Drosophila melanogaster: one gene and its partners. The protein of the gene in region 3 interacts with the protein of the main gene of each other region in a pairwise test. Each region holds a gene or a part of one and is shown on either strand. Other genes may lie near its edges.

Region 1 (7,573 bases), on a different chromosome or scaffold from region 3:
TATATATAACAAAATATAACAGGTATTCAAGGAGACATCCGTAATAACTAAGAGTGATAAATACGATGACGAATGCCACTATCGAAACGATTCGGTCGGTAGTTGGAATGCGAGAGTGTTGAAAGATGGCTTCGGTCAGAAGTGGAAAACGAACTCATCGGAGGAGGTGTCAACCGGAACGGATCCGGTGATATTCGCATGGTAGCCAGTCACCTCCTCCTTGTCAGTCTGCTGATCCGTTAATCATTGATAGCTCTGGGTGATCTGTTGGATCCAGGGCAGGTAGGCGGAGACCTTAACGTAGACGCCGGGAACGTTCACCTGACCACATCCAATGCCCCAGGACACCACTCCGACCACGTGCATGGCTCCATTCCGGTCGCACACCAATGGGCCACCGCCATCACCCTTGCAGGCATCCTTGCCCTCCTCTCCGCCGGCGCACACAAATCCGGGATTCAGTTTGTAGCTATAGCCCAGACGCGTGTTCCTCAGCTGGGACTCGCACTGTTGGTGCGATAGGATTGGCACATCCACCTCCTTCAGAATGTTCTGGTACTTTCCGTGCTCGCCGAAGGCATCCTTGCCCCATCCAGTTGTCCAGCAACGAGCTCCAGTGAAATCGGAATACTTGTCGGGCAGACAGGCGGGACTAATGTGCGGATTCTTGGTGAAGTCAACGGGTTGATCCAGTTTCAGAACGGCCAGATCATTGTCCAGAGTGCCGGCATAGTACTCGGGATGGATGTGCACGGAAACCACATCGCGTTCAATGTAGGGGAAGAACTCCACATCGTGGTTGACATCCCATTCGCCCAGACGCACACGAAGATCGAAGCCATTTTGACTGGATAGAAAGAAGCAATTGGTTAATGCTCTGGTGAAATATACTTTTATGACTCTAGAACTTACGATTTAATGCAATGGGCAGCGGAAATGATGTGCTGGGCATCGATGAGCGTGCCACCGCAGGCGTAGATCGACTCCTTGGGATCCTTCTTCAGAATGGCCACATGCCAGGGATACTCGCCGAACTCACTGTCTCCATCAACGTAGACGGGATTCTTGATGCGACCGGTGATTCCAGCGGCGTTCCTCACTCCACAACGACCAAATTGCTGGGGAGGAGCCTGGGGACGCAGTGGACGACGGCAGCAGACTTCGTTGATGCGGCAGGTCTTTTCCACGGGTCGGTTTCCATAATAGGCACGCTGGAAAATATCAAGGAAGGCAATCGCAATTAGATAAATGTTGGAGGAATGGGTACAATCTTATCTGGATTTGAAATGTACTTTGAATGCCATATAACTTTTCCTAATTACCATCAATGATTTAATCAATAAACAATTAAGAATATTTATAAAATGTGGGGTTCTTTGACTCTTAAAAAGTTTTACAAAATAGTTACATAATTTGGGACTGAACTTCTCATGAAATTTTTCAATTTTGTAGTTATGGACTTTAGTACTCTATTGACGCTTTCGAATGAACTTTAATGCTTTAGCCACACATGGTTACCTGCTCCTTAGGAGCTGCTCCCGCCCACACACCATCCTCAACGCTCCTGCGCCTGCGATCCCGTGGGAAAGTGATCCGATCACTGCCAGCTGCCTCACCAGGAGCCGGAGTGGGAATGTTGTAGAGGGGTCCCAGGTTCAACTGTTTGCCACGACGACCGGAATTCGATGGCCTGTCTGTATCACCACCGCTCACATTGGCACTTCGCTCCACATGCTGTGAGTACTCGCCATAGCCCCCGAAATCGGGACTGGATCCGGGATATATAGAGTTGAAGGAGCTCTCGTAGGGAGACGATTCGTGGTGGTGATGATACTGAACAGAAGGCCCACTGTGATACTCAAATATGGGAGTACTTGGGACCATTTCCACACTGAAATGGAGACCCGGTCCAGTTCCTCCATAGAAATGCGGATACGAGTGGTGGTCATGGTGATCGTGGTGGTCATGGTGATCGTAATCGTGGTGCTCATAGCCACTATAATGATCGTGATGGTGGTAATGTGTACTATACGCTTCGGTGGGCTTCCGCTTAAAGAAGTCTCCCACTTTCTGAATGAGATTCGCATTGGGAGTGACATGCAGATTGACCAGTGGCTTCACCACCTTCTCGCCATATTCTGTTTTGGCCACCTGCACCGATACCAGAGGATTCACATTCACCAGACCCAGATTCAGACCATTTGGACCCACCGAACCGAAGTACGGGTTTTGAGCGGGCACATGATCACCCAGAATATTCGAGGGATAACCTCCATACCCGCCAGTGGGATAGGGCAAACCAAAGCTGACACCGTAGGTGGGCAGCACTTTGCGTTGGATCAGCTCGATGGCCTGGAGAGCGGGCAATGCCAATGGAGATCCTCCGAGCGGGGACTGTCTCTATTTGTTGGTAAGGGGAAAACATAAGAACGCTAGAGGTGGAGTTCCATTTCTGATTGCCGGTTGCAGGTTGCATGTTTCGGGTTGCAGGCGTGCGATCACAAAGGTCGTGCTTGGTTAGCTGGTTTAGTTCTGGGATTAGTGACTGGTCTAATCGGAACCGATTTGCACTCTGGTATTTTAGTTGAGCTTGGAGCGTTGAACGATGGGTGCAGTTGTCAGATTGGTTTGATTTGTTGATTGACTGATTGATTTGTTGTTTGATTTGAATGTGTGTGTGTGTGGGAGGGAGGAGCTTGGCTAAAACTCGATTAGTGGTCCATGTGAACCATGTGTGATTTGGCATTAGTTGGGCACTACTTAAACTAATAGACTTCTATGGACTTACCCCTTGAGCATCGAGTGAGAGATCGCTTGCTTCGTCATCCTTTTGATCAGCCTGGCGGCGGGTGCGCTTCTTGTCATCCTTGTCCGCCTTCTCCTCGTCCTTCTTAGCCTCAGCAGTAGTGGTAGCATTGCTGGATAGAGCATCGTCACTCAGAGCCTCAATGTCCTTGCCCAGGTTGCGGGGATCAATAGGCAGAATGAGATCCTCCTTGCGTCCAATGCGATCGGCAGCGGGACACTGGGAGATGGGCACACACTGGCAGTCGACGATCTGCTGGCGCGAGGTGTCATATCCACTCTGGTACTGACCCTGACCCTGGTAACCACCAGAGATGCCATTGTACTGATTGGATGCTCCACCTTGCAGCTCCTTCTTGTAGTAGTCGGGATTCTGGCTGTGATAACTGGAGCTGGGCGATCCACTGAATCCTCCAGAGGAACTGCTGCCAAAGTTTCCTAGTCCTGAGTTGGGCTTGTAGAGATCTCCAGAGTTTGGTTTGTACAGATCTCCAGTGGGTTTCTGGGAGATTCCAAAACCGTTCTGCGAAAGAAGTCCACCCTGAGAAGCACCATTAAAGCCAGCATTGAAGGCATTGGACTGGGAGTAACTGGATCCGGAAGAAGTCTGAATGGAGGGAGTGTATGTGGCAGATGATTGGGCCAGGGCACTGAAGTCGGTGTTAATGGTCTGGCCAGCTCCGATGGGAATTGGCACACTGGGAACCTTTGCTCCCTCGCCACCTTCAACATGGTGATAATGATGATGCACATGTTGCTGCAGACCATCGAGCGGTGCTCCAACCACCACTTTGGTGCTGGAGGATGTGGCCGAGGCGGAAGAAGCTGAAGACTGCTGCGAGTAGAAACCATTGGGAGCAGAGCTTGCACCCTGGATGCCACCCTCGGGGTTCTCGTAGTTGTATGGAGGAACTCCATTCGAAGCACCAGTAAAAACGGGTCCAGCTCCCAGAGAAGGACCTCCGGTGTAGATGGGTCCTGGTGGCTTGCTGTCATAGATCAGGGCTCCGGGTGGTGGCTTCGTGTAGGTGATACCGTCGGATGAACCGTCAATGGCGGATGGTGGAGGATGCTCCAGGTAGCCACCGGGTCCAGATGGCCTGTAAGGTCCAGACATTGGCTTGTATGGTCCCTCGTATCCCACCTTCCTTGGCGGTCCAAAGGAGTTCACGGAGCTGGGCGGAGGTCCAAAGGAGTTCAGGGAGCTTGGCGGAGGTCCGTAAGATCCAGGAGGTCCACCCATTGGTGGACGACCACTGAAGTAGCTTGGTGGGGGCATGGGCTTAGCCGGACCATAGGGACCACCGCTGAAACCAGATGGTGGTGGGGGACCCTGGGCATAGATGGTCGAGTAGAAGGGACGCTTCTCCTCCACATCGCAGCTCATCAGTCCCAATCCACACAGCTTATCCCGGATAAGATTGCGGGCCTGCATATCGTTTCCCTGCTGCAGAGCCTGATCGATATTGCCATCAGCATAGACGGCATCGTATTCCCCCAGATTACGACCCTCACGGCGGGAGTTGATCAGCTGCTCGATGACCTCGTCAATCTGGGTGGTGCTGTTGCTCTGGATGGACTCGTGGACGAGGTAACGTCCCTGAATGTCAGCTTGTTCGGCGGGCTTGGTATCGACAGATCGGCGACTGGGCATGGCATCCTCCATGGGCGCCCACTCATTTCCCCAGTTGGATTCCTCGGCCAAGGAGGCGGTGGCCAGCAGTACAACTGCCAAAAGGCTAGTTCTTATTCTCATTGTGAAGCCTGTGAAATGATTAGATAGAAAAACTTTAGGATACCAATTCTCTAATATCTACGGATATATTAATCAAGTGATTGATTGACCATCTTTGTCGCCTTTTCTTTTGAGTGGAAAATAAATTAAGAGGTTTAGTCATGATTGGTTATGACATAAGTGGCGAGCTTGACACCATTACCCCAAGTCATTGTGCCAGTTTACATTTCTCCACCTAGCCACCGATCCCTCATACCATCTTTGGCTTAACCAATCCGTAACAAAACCGAATCCGAAGCCCAAACCGGTTAGCATCACGAAATCTTCACCGTGACTCAGACTCTCGTATAAGACTTTTACTTTCATTGGAGGTCGCAGACCGTAGCACTTAATTGCCTGATTTTGTACGTTACTTTTGCTCGAAATGCGAGTCGGGATGGCGAGGGGATCGCTGGCTTCAGGTCCCCGTAATTTATGAGGTAATTTTCCTACAGATTTAGCAAGCCTACGACTGCAATCCCACCGAAGACCATCGCTCAACTTGATCTCTCGCCCTGACAGCCGCTTTCCGCTTCGTGTCTCTTTTATTTGGTAAAATTCACTTTTCTTTTCAGCCTTTATTTTTATGGTCGTTTGCATTGCAGTTATGTCACCGGCTCACAGCGAGGGCGGATTTTGTAAAAGATCGGCTACACTTAACAAAAAAATCAATTATGAATGTAATATTGGTTTAAGGAGTAACTAATAGGATAGCCAGAATTATAATTTTGCCACTCGGAATTATATGCTTAAGTAAGAAGATATATTTATATTTTAAATGATTATGTAAACAGATCTGATTCATCTAGAGCGGCATTACACACTACAATTTCGAGTTATATTTTATTTTTTATGATTTTTTTCAAGTATATATTTTCCAGTTATGTAAATGTATCTTTGGATTTCTTTAGGCCTGCTTTTTCGGCCGGAAGTTGTGCGCAGCGTTGCATTGCAAATTGCCGGCAACTTTTTCGCTTGGATTTTCTTTGGCGAGAAGTGCTCGTAAGCGATGCTAACTGCCGTTTGGTTGGGTTTGGGAAATTTTTTTAGGTTTTTCCTTTGTGTTCGCAGTGAAAGTTTCGCTTGTTCGATTGGCTTAATGACGCGGAGGCTCTTGGCCAAGAGTTTTTATTAAGTGTATGTATGTAGGCATATTTGCAACAACCATAATTTCATGTGCTGCAGACTCATAATTCACATCTAATAGCCATTCATTTAAATTAGTTCGCTTTCGGTTCACTTGAGTTCACTTTGCTAATTTCGCTCACTTCACTCACCTTTTTTGTGTCAAGTTTATTAATCCAATTGGTTAGTTATCACTGTTGTCCGGATAATCCTTATGCAATTTACTGAGTCTCTTATCCTTTCACTTCATTCACTTTCTGCACCGATTGTGCTCTTCGATGCTCTGCAGATCGTTCACTGATTTCGCTTTCGTTGGCCGCGCACATTTTATACAAAAGCTGTGCATGCGCGCCGTCGACGTCAAGCTCCAACGTTTCGCTGTCTCTGTCTGCATTGATTCCGTCTTCTTCTAGCTTTCATACCGCCTTAGTTTGCGAATCGGTAGCCCAAAACAAAAGATACAAAAGCGGCGACGGCGACAATGTTTGGCAACCCCTCTTTTTCGCTGTTAGTGTTGATTTTTCGTCTGGGTTTTTTCCTCAAATCCCCAATTCTGCCCAACTACTGGAGGTCAGTAAACGAGGCGGAAATAGGCGGAAATATCACTATGATAGCTTCATTATCAGTAAGAAACCCAGAAACTATCATCACATTCAACACATCTCTTAAACATAACTGACTGTCTTAAACATCCAAATGGGGCTTTGTTTTTTTTTTTATGATTTTACCAAATTTTAAATAACCAAATTTAGCTTCCCGGAAAGGCGTTGCTTGAGAAACCGGGATTATGCAATTCTGCAATTATGAATTGGGTCAGAGAGTAGCAACCGCTGAATAATAAAAACATCGTGAAAAAGGGTAAAATTGGGCATTGCCTCAAACCGGATCTTTTGGCATACATTCATCTTTCCCCATTTTTTTTTTACTTCATACATCTGCCTCTCTTTTTGGTTGCAGTTCAGTTCAAATCGCCTGGTTTTTAACCCATGGTCAATGCAAACGTCATCGCTCGGTCACTCGTTTCATTTTCGTTTATTTTAACGTTTTTTTTATTTAACCTAGCTCACTGTGAGTAAAAAGCGCTTGGCGGAATTACCCGAAGTTCATAAAAATTAGAGACATTCCCCCCAAACTTATTCACGATGATCACGTTCGCGTGCCACTACCTTAAATCCCAATCATTATCAGGTTTGCGTTTGTGTTGTGTATGGTCAGTGCTGCCCGGCCGGAGTGAGTCTCATTGTGATTCAGTGGCTCCAGTGGCTTCCACTTGTGTTACTGACCTTGGTTCGATGTGCTGCAGTCGTTCATCTAGCCCCCACCTAAGTGGCGTTTTATGTTAAGCATTCCAAGAAAGTTGATAATGACCAACAGAGCTTCGAAAATTATGCTAATCACATTGATTTTTCTCGGGAGTTGTTATTGTCGCCACTCTGGGCTGTTTGCCAAACACCTTTTGGCTATTTGCTCGCGATTAATTCACGAAGTTTTTATCAATCAGCGTAGCGTGTGGCGTAGTTTTTGACCATCGGGTTTTTTATGACTCATACTATCGAGCACTTTGGGCTTTTCGAAGGAGGTGCGACGAACCTTATTTTGCATCGTTTTTAATTCCGTTTGGCTTACCTTTTTTTGGGGGTACATCAATAAGATGGAAATCGATTTTAATACATTGTTAATATAATATCTATAAAGGGTTTTCCGAATGTAAATATCAAACTTATTTAAATGTACGTTTCAGTAACTAATACATCTATTTTCGTTTGTTATACTCTGGTCTGAAAACTAGCATACATGATTAATAACTCATTAGGTCTTAAAAGCTTCATATCTTATTTAAATATAAATATTTAGATAACATTCAAACAA
Region 2 (3,326 bases), 5.0 Mb from region 3:
CCCACAATGCGCGGAACAAGCGCTTCGATCCGATGATGCTCTGATCATCGGGGTACATGAAATTCGCTGGCTTGATGTAGCTAACTTCGGGAAGAGAGGATCGATGCTTGAAGCCCAGCAGCATCATTTGCGGCTTGTGCAGATTGCGCACCCTGTTCAACTGATCCATGCTGATGCGCAGATCCCTTTCGCCCACGTTGCAAGTGTACCAACCGCCCGTCACCTTAATCTGATACTCGTGCTCGATATCCTGCGAGCCATCGTCCTTTTGTTTTTGCACCGTAATCACTCGCTTAGTACGCACCACACTGTTGTCCCTGCGCAGGATTTGCACTTTGCGCGGATAGGCGCGTCGCTGAAAGTAATTGTAGTACTGTACGGACATGGATAGGTTGGGGCCCAGATAAAAACTGAAGTGGCCCAGGCATCGGCGAAGGAAATCCTGCTTCAACTTACGATCGGACAGGATTTCGCGCAGCATCTGGGCATCTGGCACCTGGAAGGCGTCCAGTTCGATAGCTGCAAAAAAGGTCCTCATTAAACATCATCTAGTGTACGGATTGCTATATATTTATTTTATTATTCTTGTAAGCCAATCCAAAACCACGAACCAATTGAGCTTCACTTGGATGCGGGTGAATGATTGCTTATATTTGATCTACGAAGTCTTAAAACCTTTCAGGCGAAAATTGAACGCCAAACAGGGGAACAGACTTCGCACATTAAAACCCATAAGAAATGAATAGCAGACTTAAAGGACTTACCTCTTGACAACGTGATGAACTCCTTGTAAAACGGCTCGTAGTCAAAGTCATCGACCATGGGAATGACATGAAACTCGAACTCCTTGCCCTCCAGATCGCTGGCCTTTTGCAGGGCAGCCTGGAAGTGATTGCTGTTCGATGGATGAGGTTCCCTGACGTCCGTGACATAGGCGATCTTGGCGTTGTTTAGCTTCTTGCCGCACTTTTCCAGCATCTCGATGCAGAGCCGGATCATAAGGTCAAACCTGCCGCGACCATCGGGTTCCGCCAGGCCATACACATCGGCGAACTGCGTCTCCACCCCGCCCATGAATTCCAGATAGTGCTCCACAATGGGTTTGGTTAGTTGGCGAAGGGGCAAGAACACTGCGCAGTTATCCGGCATTACGATGTTGTCCAATGCACTGGCTTCCAGCGGCGGCGGACTGTGCTTGGTGTTGGCGAAGATGAGTCCGATGAGGTCCTTGTCGTTAACCAGAAGTCCGGATATAAAGGCCGTCCGGATGATGTTCAGTGCCTCCAACAGGCGCTCCACGCCGGCTGTCTGAAGATTGGCGTCTACCACGAACAGAATGGCCTCGCGCCCATGGTAGTCCCGCTTCATGGACACATCCTCCTCGTCCTCGGACCCAGACAGCAGGTCCACATCGTTCTCCGGATTCCAGGTGCTCATTATGCGGCTTCTTTAGATTGCTAAAAATCTGACTTTCCGCTAATTTCACAAGAAGGCGGGCGCGCTTATCGTCGCTGTTGTTATCGATTGAGCTAGGGATGAGAGTCACGAAGAGAATTGATATATATTTAAATTTATTTAGACATTATTTAATGTTTTTAACATATTATATTATCCCAACGTTTATTTATATAATTATTTTAATATAAGTTAGTTTTACATTTTTATACGAAGTTGACCACCACCTTTCGATGACAGCCATTCAATCGATTGTTCCATCGCAATTTTGACTCATCGACTTTTACAGCGGCAGGCTGACCTCCTGAAAATTAAATTGCATTTGTAGACGGCACGGCTGAAGGCAACAGGATGACAGGAATAATGGACTCGGTGGAAATGCCCAAATTACCGGAAAACCAGAAGACCTTCGCCGGCATCCCGGAGGCAGTGTTCCTGGTGAGTGGTCCTAACCTACAAGCGTGCACCTGCAGCTGGACACTGCAGGCTAATTCGTGGTTCTTGGGCCCTTGCAGGAGGAGATCGACACCTTCATGTCGCAGCCGGAGAACGAAAATTGCGAAAAGGTGCTGCAGCGACTGGACGAGCAGCACGGCAAGTATCGATTCATGGCCTGCAATCTGGAGGCGCGGCGGCGCAAGTTGAAGTCTCAAATTCCGGACCTGGAGCGCTCCCTGGAAATGGTCAATGTGCTTCGCAAGGAGGACGAGGAGCGCGAGACGCAATTCCTGCTCAGCGACCAGGTGTTCATCAAGACACTGGTGCCGCCCACGAAAACAGTATACCTCTGGCTGGGGGCCAGCGTGATGCTGGAGTATCCGCTAGACGAGGCGGAGGCTCTGCTGAACCAGAACATCACATCGGCCGTGGGCAACCTAAAGTCCGTGGAGCACGATCAGGATTTTCTGAGGTCAGTTCGAGTGCTGTTATTCAAGTTACTTGTTTTATTGTATTATAAATGTATATTTTAGGGATCAAATCACAACTACGGAGGTGAACATGGCGCGGGTCTACAACTGGGGCGTGAAAAAGCGGCAGGCCGCTACCAAGACCACCGCCACTACCCCATCCTAAGGAGACCCACCCAAATCCCATCCCAAGATCAACATCGGTAGCAGCCACTCGCATCTTATTTATTTCGACAGTACACCGCAAGGGCTCGGCAGGCGATTCCACCTGGCTTATTCTTGTTCTCCACTGATAGCAATAAAACCGCCACACAAACGCATCAAGCTGACTCCAAACGAGATGCCTATTCCGGAGGAATGTAATATTTTAATTTGGCTACGGGCATTTAACTGCATGTAAACCGAATAAACGGCGAACGCAATTCATTGAGAGTAAAGCCGAATTCACAAATCATAGGATTAGGGTTCAGTTTATTTCAAATCTTTAACATCCGGAACTTACACGCCTCATTTGACCTCCCACTTCATGGATTGGTGCAGGTAGTCGCCATCGGGACTGACGTAATCCTTAATGGGGGGCGTGGCAACGGGTCCTTTGACGGCGACGGGCAGCAGCTGGGGATCGATATCGATGGCCGCCTGGTAGAGCTCCTCGGACTCGCGCCGAAGTTCCGCCAGCGCCTTGTTTTGCGCCTGGACCAGCCGGTCGATGATCTGAAAGTCTGCTACGCGCTCGTCGTGCTTGTAGTGCGCCCACTGCTTCTTGAGGAGAGCACGTTCCTCCAACTGGTCGATGGTCAGTGGAGCTAGCTTCCGCTGCCGTTTGCTGAACGATAGGATAGCATTACATCTCAGCATATGAGGGAAACCCGTATGAGAACCTACTCCTTTTCGTCGATGAGCTCCAGTGGAACCTCCAGTTCATCCACGGGCTTCAGCTGACGGGCATTCTTCTCCAGCCGG
Region 3 (3,402 bases):
CAGGAAAAGATAAGAGCCGATGAATACTTGCAGCAAAAGACGGAGAGTTCGGTGGAGAAATGCTTCGACCGCTTCGAGCAGATAATGTTCACCGACCCGCGCCTCACCCAGATCTTCCGGCTGGAGCACCAGTACTACCTGGACGCGATGCTGAGGCGGCTGCCGTCCAATTACGAGTGCCTGGACAGCAGTCGCGCGTGGTGCGTTTACTGGATCCTGCAGGCGGCCCAGCTACTTAGCTTTAACTTCGACGACCAGACATTGAACCACGTGGTCCAGTTTCTAAGCAAGTGCGTCTTTGAAGGATATTTCTCTAATAGGCATCCTTAATGCTCCAATCACTCTTTCATAGCTGCCGTTCGCCGACTGGGGGTTTTGGAGGAGGACCTGGACAGTATGCCCATCTGGCGCCCACCTATGCAGCAGTGAACAGTCTGTGCATCATCGGAAGCGAGCAGGCGTACCGTGCCATAGACCGACCGACTTTGGTCCAGTTCCTGTTCAGTGTACGTGACTCAGACGGCTCCTTCCGGCTCCACGTGGATGGTGAGACGGATGTGCGTGGCGCCTACTGCGCAATCTCCTGCGCAAAGCTGCTAAATCTTCCCGAGCCAGTGATCAAGGAGCTATTTGCCGGCACTGGCGACTGGATAGCCCAGTGTCAGACATACGAGGGAGGATTTGGAGGAGCCCCTGGTCTGGAGGCCCATGGTGGCTACACCTTCTGCGGAATCGCGGGCCTGGCGCTGCTCAACGAGGCTGATAAGTGCGACAGGCAGGCTTTGCTCAAATGGACACTGCGCCGTCAGATGACCTACGAAGGCGGCTTCCAAGGGAGGACCAACAAACTGGTTGATGGCTGCTACTCCTTCTGGGTGGGAGCCACCATTCCCATTACGCAGGCAACGCTATCCGGCGTCGATAAGCAAATGGAGCACACCCTTTTCGATGTGGAGGCCCTGCAGGAGTACATCCTGCTCTGCTGCCAAAAGCAGAGCGGCGGGCTTATCGACAAACCCGGAAAGTAAGGGATTAATGCCAACATTGTGATGTTTTTTAATGTAAAACCCATATTTTCAGACCGCAGGATCTCTACCACACATGCTATACTCTTAGTGGCGTTTCCATTGCCCAGCACTCGGAGTGCGCCAGCAGCCCCCAGGTCCTGGGCGACACCATTAACGAGCTACTGCCTACCCACCCACTGTTCAACATCCCACCAAAGTCAGTTGCAGCTGCCAGGAGCCACTTCAGCAATTCCAATGACACAGAGTTCTTGGGGAAAGACAGTCCCAGCAAGGAGGAGAGTTAAGGCTTCAGGTCAGGAGGAGGAGCCTGCGTAATGAGGACGTTTTGCTGGTGGTTTACCTTTAAAGAACTAAACTTGGTTTAATAAATTAATCTTTGAAATATTGTATTTTTCGCTTCTTGTATAAATGTACTTATTGGAAAAGGAATTGATTAAAATGTTTAACGTTTTCTAAAAAATATTTATGTCATATATTATTTCGAAATAAAATTATTATGTTTTCAAATAAATTCATGTGTGATTTTGTACAACAACCCAATTGCTCATTATAAAAAAAAATGAGATGAAACAAATAACTTTTATAAATGTGGCTTTGAATCCGAAAGCTATTATTTTGCCCCCAATGTATTTCAGCACGTTTATATGTGAATGGTAAAACATGAATAGTTTGCGTTGTGAATGGCATTTTGGGACTGATTTCAAATCGCAGCTTTGCCTTCGCATCCTTTTTATGTTCTCCAGCCACAGGACATTGAAGAGGAGGACGCCTGCCCAGGGCATTGACCGCCGGGAGTACATTGGTCACCTGGTCGATGAGTATTATACGACAACCAACATCGGTAAGGTTTTTATTCACGTCATTTTGCCGGTGTGAATTCATTTTTGATTTTCATTATTAGAGGCCCAGCAGCAGGTGACTGCTAATTTGGCCAATTTTGCATACGATCCCATCAACTGGTCGCATCTCCTGGAGGCGGACGCCTTGGATGTATTTGTGGCATCGCTGGAGACACAGGATCAGCTATTAAAAGTGCACGGAATTGCGGCATTGTGTAACCTTTGCCTGGGTAAGCAAACATTTGATTTTCAAACCAACCTTGTTCATCATATTCTTATTGCAGACAAAACGGCTGCCAAATTTATCAGAGAGCAGCTAAAACTGCTAACCGGCCTCTTTGTGCGCACTGATCACCCGGAAATAGTACTTCACAGCCTGGCGCTCTTTTACCAATTACTGGAATTTGGTGAACGGACTGAACGGGATTTACTTCTGAGCCCTGCGGTGCTAAGGACGGTGCAAGAGTGGCGGGTCAAGGCCCACGATGAACGCATCGTTAAACTTTGTCAGTTGCTGCTGCAAGATTTCGCAACACGCACAGAGGTTGTCCAGCTGCAAAAGGCTTCCCCAAACGTTCCGACAGCTGAGCAGCAAAGCAGTGAAGCAGGTGCAAGTGGTTAAGCGGTTTTCCCAAAGCGATTTGGAGCAGTTTGCCCAGTTCACCGGCGACCACAACTACATCCATAGTCTGGAAACGCCCACCGAGGAGCGCCGCGTCCATGGAGCCCTGCTCAACGCGGTGGTGGCTGGTATAATGGGTACCCAGCTCCCTGGTCCGGGCACCGTGGTTCTAGAGCAGAATTTCAAGTTTCTGAAACCCTGTCGTATTGAGACCGACACCGTGGTGACCGTACGTCTGCTACAATCTCGCAAGATTTCCACCGTGGAGTACGATATAAGGCAGAACGACGAGGTGGTGTTCGCCGGCAGCGCCAAGTTGCTGACTCGCAACTAAAAAGACTAGCTTTGGTTCAATAAAAGTGGATGTTAGAATATTTATTTTACTACTTCTTTGAGGCCCGCTTGCCCTCGCCCTTCTTGGGAGGCGCCTTGCCGCGCAGCTTGCGCAGACGCTTCATCTCCTCCTTGAAGTCCTGGTGCTCATCGCGGAACAGTCCGTAGTCGCGAAGGTTCTTCATCAGCAAGTGCGTCTCCACGTGCCGCGGATACCAGTTGATCACGTAGTCCCGTTTGTGAATTGGTTCCTCCGAGAACATGCGAACCACCTGGGGAAGGTCGGATAAAACATGTTTACATTTTAATTAATAAATTTATTTCGAGAACATACCTTCATGGACTTCTCGTTTGTGGTGCGAGCCACTTCGCCGAAAATGCGATTTGAGAGGTAGTTCATCCGGCGAGCATACTGCGTGCCGACCTTAATCAGCTCCGTGTACTTGTGGGACATAGTTAATATTAGTTTGCTATGCTTTTCATGAAATAATTTAAGTTAAGTTTCTAAGTTTTAGTAAATTGCGGTTATGTCACGAAACAAAAACAAGCGACAGCTGATTTCCAAGTGCAGTTGGCATTC
Region 4 (7,633 bases), on a different chromosome or scaffold from region 3:
GCCACCAATGTCCCGGAAACTTTCCGTTGGGTGCTGCACCTCCAGATCCCTTTTGAACTTCCGAAGGCGATCGCGACTTTGGTTTTGGTGCAACTGCTGATATAAGCCAGGCACATTACGGTGATCTTTGGAACGCGGAACGGCGTCCTCTGAAAGATTTTTCGCTCTGTTGCCCACAACTTGGTGCACTAAAACAAAAAGTTTAGGTTTCATTGATTTTACAAAAGTATTTAAAAAAAAACTCACGCTTTTGAATGGCCTCCGAACTGCTAACGTGAATAGTATTCGGTTTAGCTACTAATGAAGAATGTCATTTAACCAAGTCATAGACTAATGGATTGATAACCCACCTTTCTTTGCAGCCACTGCGATCTCCGGCACTTCCTCCATCAGGCGTTTCAAAGCACTGCCCTGCACTGCTGGAGTAGGAGGAGGAGGAGCAGCAGCAGCAGCTACCCCATCTCCGTTGGTGGTTTTTGTATTGGAGTCATCTTCGTTCTCGTCTCCACTGGATATATCGATGGGCTCGCTGATTGGCTTGGGCGCCAGCGGCTTTCTTGGTTGACTATACAGGCTGTTCATCATATTGTTCATCACACTATTCGTGGGTGGTGGCTCGGAGTCCTCGCTAACACAATCTTCCTCGGAACTGCTTACCTTGTCCAAGTTATAGCTTTCCGAAATGATCGAGAATGCTGTAATAGAAATATTTGTTAAAAACAAATAACCACAATGTTCCATGTTTACCTTGGTGCACCAGCTGTCTGAATGGTCCGAATTTGCGTCGTGAATATTCCGGATACTTTTGCATCAACTCCCTGGTCATCTGTTTCACATCCAGGTAGGTTTCCCCGATGTGCTCCTCCAGATACTGAAATCGAAAGTAGAACGCAATTAGCACACGATGCGGGTAGCCTGCGACCTAACCTTGTTTTCCCTTGCCCAAAATCGCCGCCCTGCAAAGGGTTTTTGTGTGTTTTTTTTTTTTTTTTTGTGCTGCTTTCATGGGAATTTACCGGCTATCGGGCAGCTGGCTAGTTTGTGGATATAAACAACGGATTTGGACACACCTTCTTTACTCGGATCGTTATTAGATGGTCGTGCAGCAGCGGCTTGGCTTTCTTCATATTATTCGAGGATTACTTCTGTCTAGACATTCGCACGAGGACAATTAAATCACTTTGCCGCTCGCAAAATGCTAACGAAGCGAAGCTGTGGCTTCGATATCTTCGCTTTGGAGGCCGTTTCCACTCTTCCACATTTTCACCATGGTTTCGTATATATCGAACGAGATTTATATCAGTCAAGCGTTAATATTTAAATAATTTCTACTCGCCAGACACCTCAAATTGTTTTATTTAAAATAATATTAAGCTAACGATAAGAGTTTTAAACCTTTTGACTTTTACGAGAGCGAAATTCTCGAAAATTTTTCGGTGTGAACACGCAGTTAAGACCGAAGTAACTGTTCATCGATAGCGTTGGCGTTGTCCAAAAACTATCGATGGCCGAAGTCAGCTGTTCGGCCTTGTTATCTCGCTCCCGCCCCCAGCATAGTTGCTGACTCCGCTCTGCTCTCTCGCTTGCTCTCTGAACGGAACAACTGAGTAGTCTGAATTTAACAAGTAACCAAACCAAAAATTAAATGTGCTTTTACATCAACAAACGCTGGACGCGCAATAAGTGAGGTGTTAATTATGCGCCGCAGCAGCAACAGCAGCCAGCAGTGAAAAAATGTTGCACTCCATCTGAGTTCGGCCGCACAATTGTTTTGGATTTTGGATAAATCGCAAAATTGGAACGAATAAGAAACAGCCAGAAGAACATCGAACGGAAAAAAAAGAAAGCGCGATGTGCGACGGTGAAATTGGCGATCCGGTGACTCAGCCACGTTCCGAGGGCGGTGGATTGGTCACAATGGATCAGGAGACCCGGACGCACTACCTCGACGCGGCGACAGATAAGCACCTGACCAATGGATCGCCAGATCCAGAGCCCGTGGATCCGCTACTCGTGGCCCAGTGGTCCATCGAGAATGTGACCAGTTGGGCCACCTGCATGGAGCACTTTTCGAGAACACTGCTCGACTGCCTGCGCCAGGAGGCCATCGACGGCGAGGTGCTGCTCTCCCTCACCGAGGAGGATGTACGTGATATGCGCTACAAACTGGGCTACAAACTCACCTTCGGCGAGCTCAAGAAATTCTGGATAGCCGTGCTCAAGCTGCAGCTACTGGTGAAGAACAGCTCTGCGGAATCCGTAATACTGGGCATCGAGTGCCATGGGAACGGGAACTCGGTATACATGCCACTAGCCAGCACCGGCTGCGGTCCACCGTCCTCATCCACGTGCCCCTGTCCGCAGGCCGAATGCCCCAGCTATGTGTCCGATTGCGATACCTATTTGCGCATGGGCGGACGCTATGTTCCGCCGGAATACTTCAAGACCGCCATGAGCTTAGGTGAGTGGTCCACAACCTGCCCCCCTTCAATTACGAAGGTCAATTGTCCATTGATTGCTTCGGCGGGCTTATCGGTCGTGTGCCAATTCTCGAGAGCTTTTCGCTTTTCTCTATATAGCGCAGTTCAGGCATATACTTTCCTTGCGATAGCCGAGAAGTAAGAGGTTTCCCCATGGGTATGACTATTATGTAGTATATATATAGTAAAATTGTTGTTTTATTTATGAGTCGAACTAATGTCCCGTCAGTTGACTAAGGACAACGCCAAGAAATAAAAAATAGTTTTTAGGAGAAATAGTTTCACGACTTTATTCTTTGGATCTCAGCTTAAGACTAAAAATCAAATGCAAATTGGATTGAGGAGAAGCCTCAGTATTTGAACAATATTTGTATTTCGGGAGAGCCTCGCTCTTGGGTTCTTAAGATTAGGTAGCGTTGAAAGAGGGCAGTCAAATCTGCTTAGGTCAGGCTTTAGGATGTTTACAAGAACGGCTGCGCTGCCAAAGATAAACGAATGCTGCGCAGCTGGGATACGTTATGGAAAATTACTAGAGTGCATTACTGATTTCTTTGAAATAATGGAAGTGGCTGGTTTGGACCACCCAAATACGTCACTCCCCTTCCCTTAAAGAGAAGCCTATACTTGGGCTGGGATTGATGGATATAGTGTGGGAAATGGAGTTTCTTCTATTTCTGTTTGTTGTGGTGTGTTTTGATTTTGATTTTTTCTTATTTTAAGTTTTGCATACAGCATCATAAATGGTTTAAATGATACATATCTTAAATATGAGTACAACAAAATTAGTGCGATTATTACAATGATCATTTGTATGTAAAGTGTAATATTGTTCTCTGAAATCATCTCAACAATGTCGTTGTGTTTTACAATTTTTATTTTTGTTATATTAAGTGGTGTGTATAGTGGTGTCAAATCTATTTCTGGTTCTAACAGATTTTCACTTAAAATTATATTATTGATTTCTATTTTGCATTGCGTTACTCTTATCATTTTGTTTCCTTCTATTTTTATTTTATTAATTGAATTTTGGCAATTTTGGTTAAGAATTGTTTGGGTTAAGTTCCAGGTTACAATTGTGTTTGGTTCTATGTATTTTATTATTTCGTTCGTGTGTACTGGCTTAAAATTACAAATTGGATTTAAGTGTTTAATAATATTGGTGACACATTCATTTTTTACTTCTTTATTTTCGGTATTATAAACTTTATTTTCTTTTTCAAAATATGATTGTGTGTCTGTGTAATCTAGCTGATAGCCGTTGGAGTCTGGGTAAGGAATTATTTTAATTGTGCTTATTAGTGAAAGGTAAATGGGTATGTGGGATATGATTAATACTTGGTTATCATTGTAGTTAATCCAAGTGGATGTTTTAATGTTCAAAATGTTTTGGCTGTTCACATTTTCAAGTTTGTCGTAGTTTAGTAATTTGGGGTTAAACAGTCCAAGTCTGGAAAGCTGCATAGCCATTTCCAAATCTTCTATGTATTCCGTAAACTGCATTAGTTCGAACAAAAGACTGTCAATGATGGTGTGGTTATTTTCATAATTCTGTATTTTTTTGCATTCCGTCATTTATCAATCGTATGGCGTCGTTGAGTTCATGTAATTTTACTGAGTTATGGACGTTGATTTCAAGTTTTTTCTGTATTTCGACTCGATCATTTTCATCTAGTGTTCCAAATAGGTATTTAAAACCTGAACCCACAATGTTAATAAGACCCCGTTTGTTTCTATGTTTCAGGGTTATTCCGGCTAGTTCTCTTTTTATTTTATTGTATAAAAAATTGATCTGGGGTGCATGGTAATCGGTTCGTAGTCTTTGCTCAAAATAGTCAACCACGATGTCTATTTCAGTTAAATTGATTTTTAAGGAGTGATGTTCAAAGGAGGATGGTATCTGTACTGGCTTATCAGAAAAAAGGAGATATCCGTGGTTGGTGTCAATATTATTAATTTGAATTTGTTGTCCATGAACAGCTGTGATCAGTATAAACAATAGTGTTATCGGGTACCAGGTGCCTTCCAGGTGTAGTTTCGAAATTAGTAATTGACGTCGTCTCTCCGCTTCTTCGCAGAATGCTCTTAGGCTTCCTCTGTATGGTGTCTCCCTGAAGTTCTCCAGAAGTTTGTAGTTTGGTGTTTGAATTTTAAATTCCGCGATGAGTCTTGCTTTAAGGGTAGGCCAATCTTCGATGTTCGGAAGTCCCAAAGATCGTGTAATTTGTCCGTCCAAGTTCCTTTCGATGGCTCCCAGTAGAATCCTCTGTTGTCGGACATCATTTGTTTGGTAGAGCGAAATTACGTAATCCACTCTGCTGATAAAGGTGTGAAGGGTTTCTGGATCACCCTTGAATGGCATAATGTCTTTAAGCTGCCGACGGGCTTCGGCAAGGTTTATGTCGCTCAGCGCAATAATTGGTTGTGACATTTTTATTGTAAAATTTTTAACTTTTGTGTTTTATTTTTTTGTTTTGTTTCGGATTCAATGTTATTATTATTTTTAAGCTTTCTAGTTTCACTTGTTTGTTTTTTTTTGTTTTGTAAATTTTTGTGTTGTATTATTAAAATTCTATATTGTTTTAATTTTTTATTTTTATATGTTGGTTTTAAAACTTAGTTGCCTTTGGACTTAATATTTTTGTTTCGTATTTCACTTCCACTTATTATTGGATAACCGAATTGGAATTATAATCCAAGTTGAAGAGTTTTCACGAATTTATTTTGGGAGATGTTTCGAGCACTGGACTATAAAATTTAACTTATTTTCCACTCGAAGGTTCTTTTTTTCGGATACTTTTGTATCCTACCGACTGCGCCAGTAAAATTGTTGTTTTATTTATGAGTCGAACTAATGTCCCGTCAGTTGACTAAGGACAACGCCAAGAAATAAAAAATAGTTTTTAGGAGAAATAGTTTCACGACTTTATTCTTTGGATCTCAGCTTAAGACTAAAAATCAAATGCAAATTGGATTGAGGAGAAGCCTCAGTATTTGAACAATATTTGTATTTCGGGAGAGCCTCGCTCTTGGGTTCTTAAGATTAGGTAGCGTTGAAAGAGGGCAGTCAAATCTGCTTAGGTCAGGCTTTAGGATGTTTACAAGAACGGCTGCGCTGCCAAAGATAAACGAATGCTGCGCAGCTGGGATACGTTATGGAAAATTACTAGAGTGCATTACTGATTTCTTTGAAATAATGGAAGTGGCTGGTTTGGACCACCCAAATACGTCACTATATACATATGCATATCTAGATAAGAAGCTCTGGCATATGGCAGTTAACTTTCAAAGGAAATAATATATTATATAAACCTCTGCTCCATTTTATCAGACTTTTGCTATCATTTGCCTTAATAATCCCAACAAGCTACGAAAAAATATCATACATATCACACTTTGATCTTTTTAAACATTAAACATTTAGTTCTTGTCATGTCTGCCAGCATTAATAATTCTAAAATTCTGTAACCAGAAATAAACGCTTTCCATGTGAGAAACATTGCTTTAATTAGTAAATCTAATTCTAGAGTATATCACTCAATCCAATCACTACCTCAGCGATAGGCCAATAATAATGGTTTCAATGTCACGCGTGTTATAAATGTTTAATCAGACCATACGTCATTAAATCCCATTTATAGTTTCTGTACTACTACCTATTCTACGAAAGTAAACGAATTTACCTTCGAGTTCATGGGTTCATTAGCTATGACTTCTAGAGATACGTCACACTCTAAGTTTAATAATGTTTACTGGTCACTGGCGACGCGTTACTATTATTTATTTTGAGCACTTCGGAGGTTATTTGTGTAGACGCCGCTCGCATTTATTTGTGTACTCATATGCCTCTCATTCTGGCTAACTGGTTTTGTTATTTTTGTGTAACTTTGCGTGCATTAAATTTCAAATTCCCATTTGTTTATGATACCCTTCAAACGGCTGGTTTTACTTAACGGGTAAATTTTCAAAAAATTGAACGGCAAAGGAAAACCTAAAAACAGTAGCCAATCGAGTGTTGAATTTTATGTATTATGTTATGTATTTATTTATCTATCTGACAAGTTTTAGCTGATTATTCAAAAAAGGATTGTTCTGTAAAATAATGTTTCACTTGAGTTATAATATTTAAGTGATCAAAGTTCAAACGAAACAATGGGCTTATCTAGGCTAATTTGCTATCAGTGGCTTTTTATTTCGATAATGCATTTATCATTACAGACTATGCTTGTTTTTCTATTGTCATGGCCATTTCAATAGATAAGTCTACATTTTGGCAGATAAAGCTGCTGAAAGATAATTCTTTTGGTAGTAAATATTACACTTTTATCACTTTCGGAACGGGGTCAAACACACTACCAATAATAATACGAAAATAAAATGGTTTCCTTTTCTTTGTTAAAAGGTTTCCGCATTATATACTAAATTATTATACAAACAAAGATGACTATCAGAATAAAGTACATACGTTTATTTGCTCTGATATCTCAAGTTTAGTCATCATTGTGATTCAACTTCATAAATTCGACATCTTGAGATCAATTTGAAATACAAACGTTTTTAGAAATTATATATAGAGAGTTTATAGATTATGGTTGCAAATGACCGATTCCATAACTATTTTTTTTCCGCCTGCTGAGCCAAATTAGTCACACTCTAAATCCGCATGGTAACATCATATTTTTTGTACCATCAACAGGCTACTCGTTCGTTGTCACCTGGATAACATCGTTAACAATGGTTATTGTGCACGAGCGGGTTCCGGATATGAAGCGCTATCCGCCGCTGCCGGACATCTTCCTGGACAACGTGCCGCATATTCCGTGGGCCTTTAATATGTGCGAAATAACCGGCTCACTATTGTTCACCATTTGGGTGGTCGTGCTAACCTTCCACAAGTATAGATTGGTCCTACTGAGGCGATTCTTTGCTCTGGCGGGCACGGTTTTCCTGCTGCGCTGCGTCACCATGTTGATCACGTCGCTGAGCGTACCGGGAACGCATCTGCAGTGCAGCCAGAAGGACTTTGCCATCGATGATCCCAATGTGGACATGGTGGGCGCCTTGATTATCCGCATGTCACGAGCCTATCGCATCTGGAGCGGCCTGGGCATGTCCATTCAGGGAGTGCGGACCTGCGGCGATTATATGTTTAGTGG

The links.
Region 1: the proteins of CG14881 (region 3) and CG4998 interact in a two-hybrid assay, tested with the Drosophila melanogaster proteins (one large-scale study listed by BioGRID).
Region 2: the proteins of CG14881 (region 3) and mgr interact in a two-hybrid assay, tested with the Drosophila melanogaster proteins (one large-scale study listed by BioGRID).
Region 4: the proteins of CG14881 (region 3) and SMSr interact in a two-hybrid assay, tested with the Drosophila melanogaster proteins (one large-scale study listed by BioGRID).

The regions. Positions count from the first base shown.
Region 1 is NT_037436.4:16,337,432-16,345,004, reverse strand, and holds the start of CG4998 (uncharacterized protein), read right to left. Parts: upstream 6,003-7,573; 5' UTR 5,857-6,002; intron 4,570-5,856; 5' UTR 4,562-4,569; coding exon 2,789-4,561; intron 2,401-2,788; coding exon 1,519-2,400; intron 1,212-1,518; coding exon 913-1,211; intron 848-912; coding exon 244-847; 3' UTR 1-243.
Region 2 is NT_033777.3:11,408,249-11,411,574, reverse strand, and holds mgr (merry-go-round), read left to right. Parts: upstream 1-1,699; 5' UTR 1,700-1,806; coding exon 1,807-1,893; intron 1,894-1,970; coding exon 1,971-2,365; intron 2,366-2,426; coding exon 2,427-2,529; 3' UTR 2,530-2,783; downstream 2,784-3,326. Other genes in the region: Irbp (inverted repeat-binding protein), read right to left, coding at 1-519, 765-1,437; mRpL40 (mitochondrial ribosomal protein L40), read right to left, coding at 2,871-3,189, 3,249-3,326. UniProt on the Drosophila melanogaster protein: Binds specifically to cytosolic chaperonin (c-CPN) and transfers target proteins to it. Binds to nascent polypeptide chain and promotes folding in an environment in which there are many competing pathways for nonnative proteins.
Region 3 is NT_033777.3:16,433,205-16,436,606, forward strand, and holds CG14881 (uncharacterized protein), read left to right. Parts: upstream 1-1,694; 5' UTR 1,695-1,760; coding exon 1,761-1,869; intron 1,870-1,929; coding exon 1,930-2,097; intron 2,098-2,151; coding exon 2,152-2,363; coding exon of another isoform or gene 2,364-2,451; coding exon 2,452-2,823; 3' UTR 2,824-2,862; downstream 2,863-3,402. Other genes in the region: Fntb (farnesyl transferase beta subunit), read left to right, coding at 34-290, 353-1,024, 1,081-1,312; mRpS33 (mitochondrial ribosomal protein S33), read right to left, coding at 2,873-3,094, 3,157-3,276.
Region 4 is NT_037436.4:7,375,449-7,383,081, reverse strand, and holds the start of SMSr (sphingomyelin synthase related), read left to right. Parts: upstream 1-1,607; 5' UTR 1,608-1,851; coding exon 1,852-2,461; intron 2,462-7,173; coding exon 7,174-7,633. Other genes in the region: smid (smallminded), read right to left, coding at 1-188, 247-297, 351-695, 748-871, 1,071-1,127.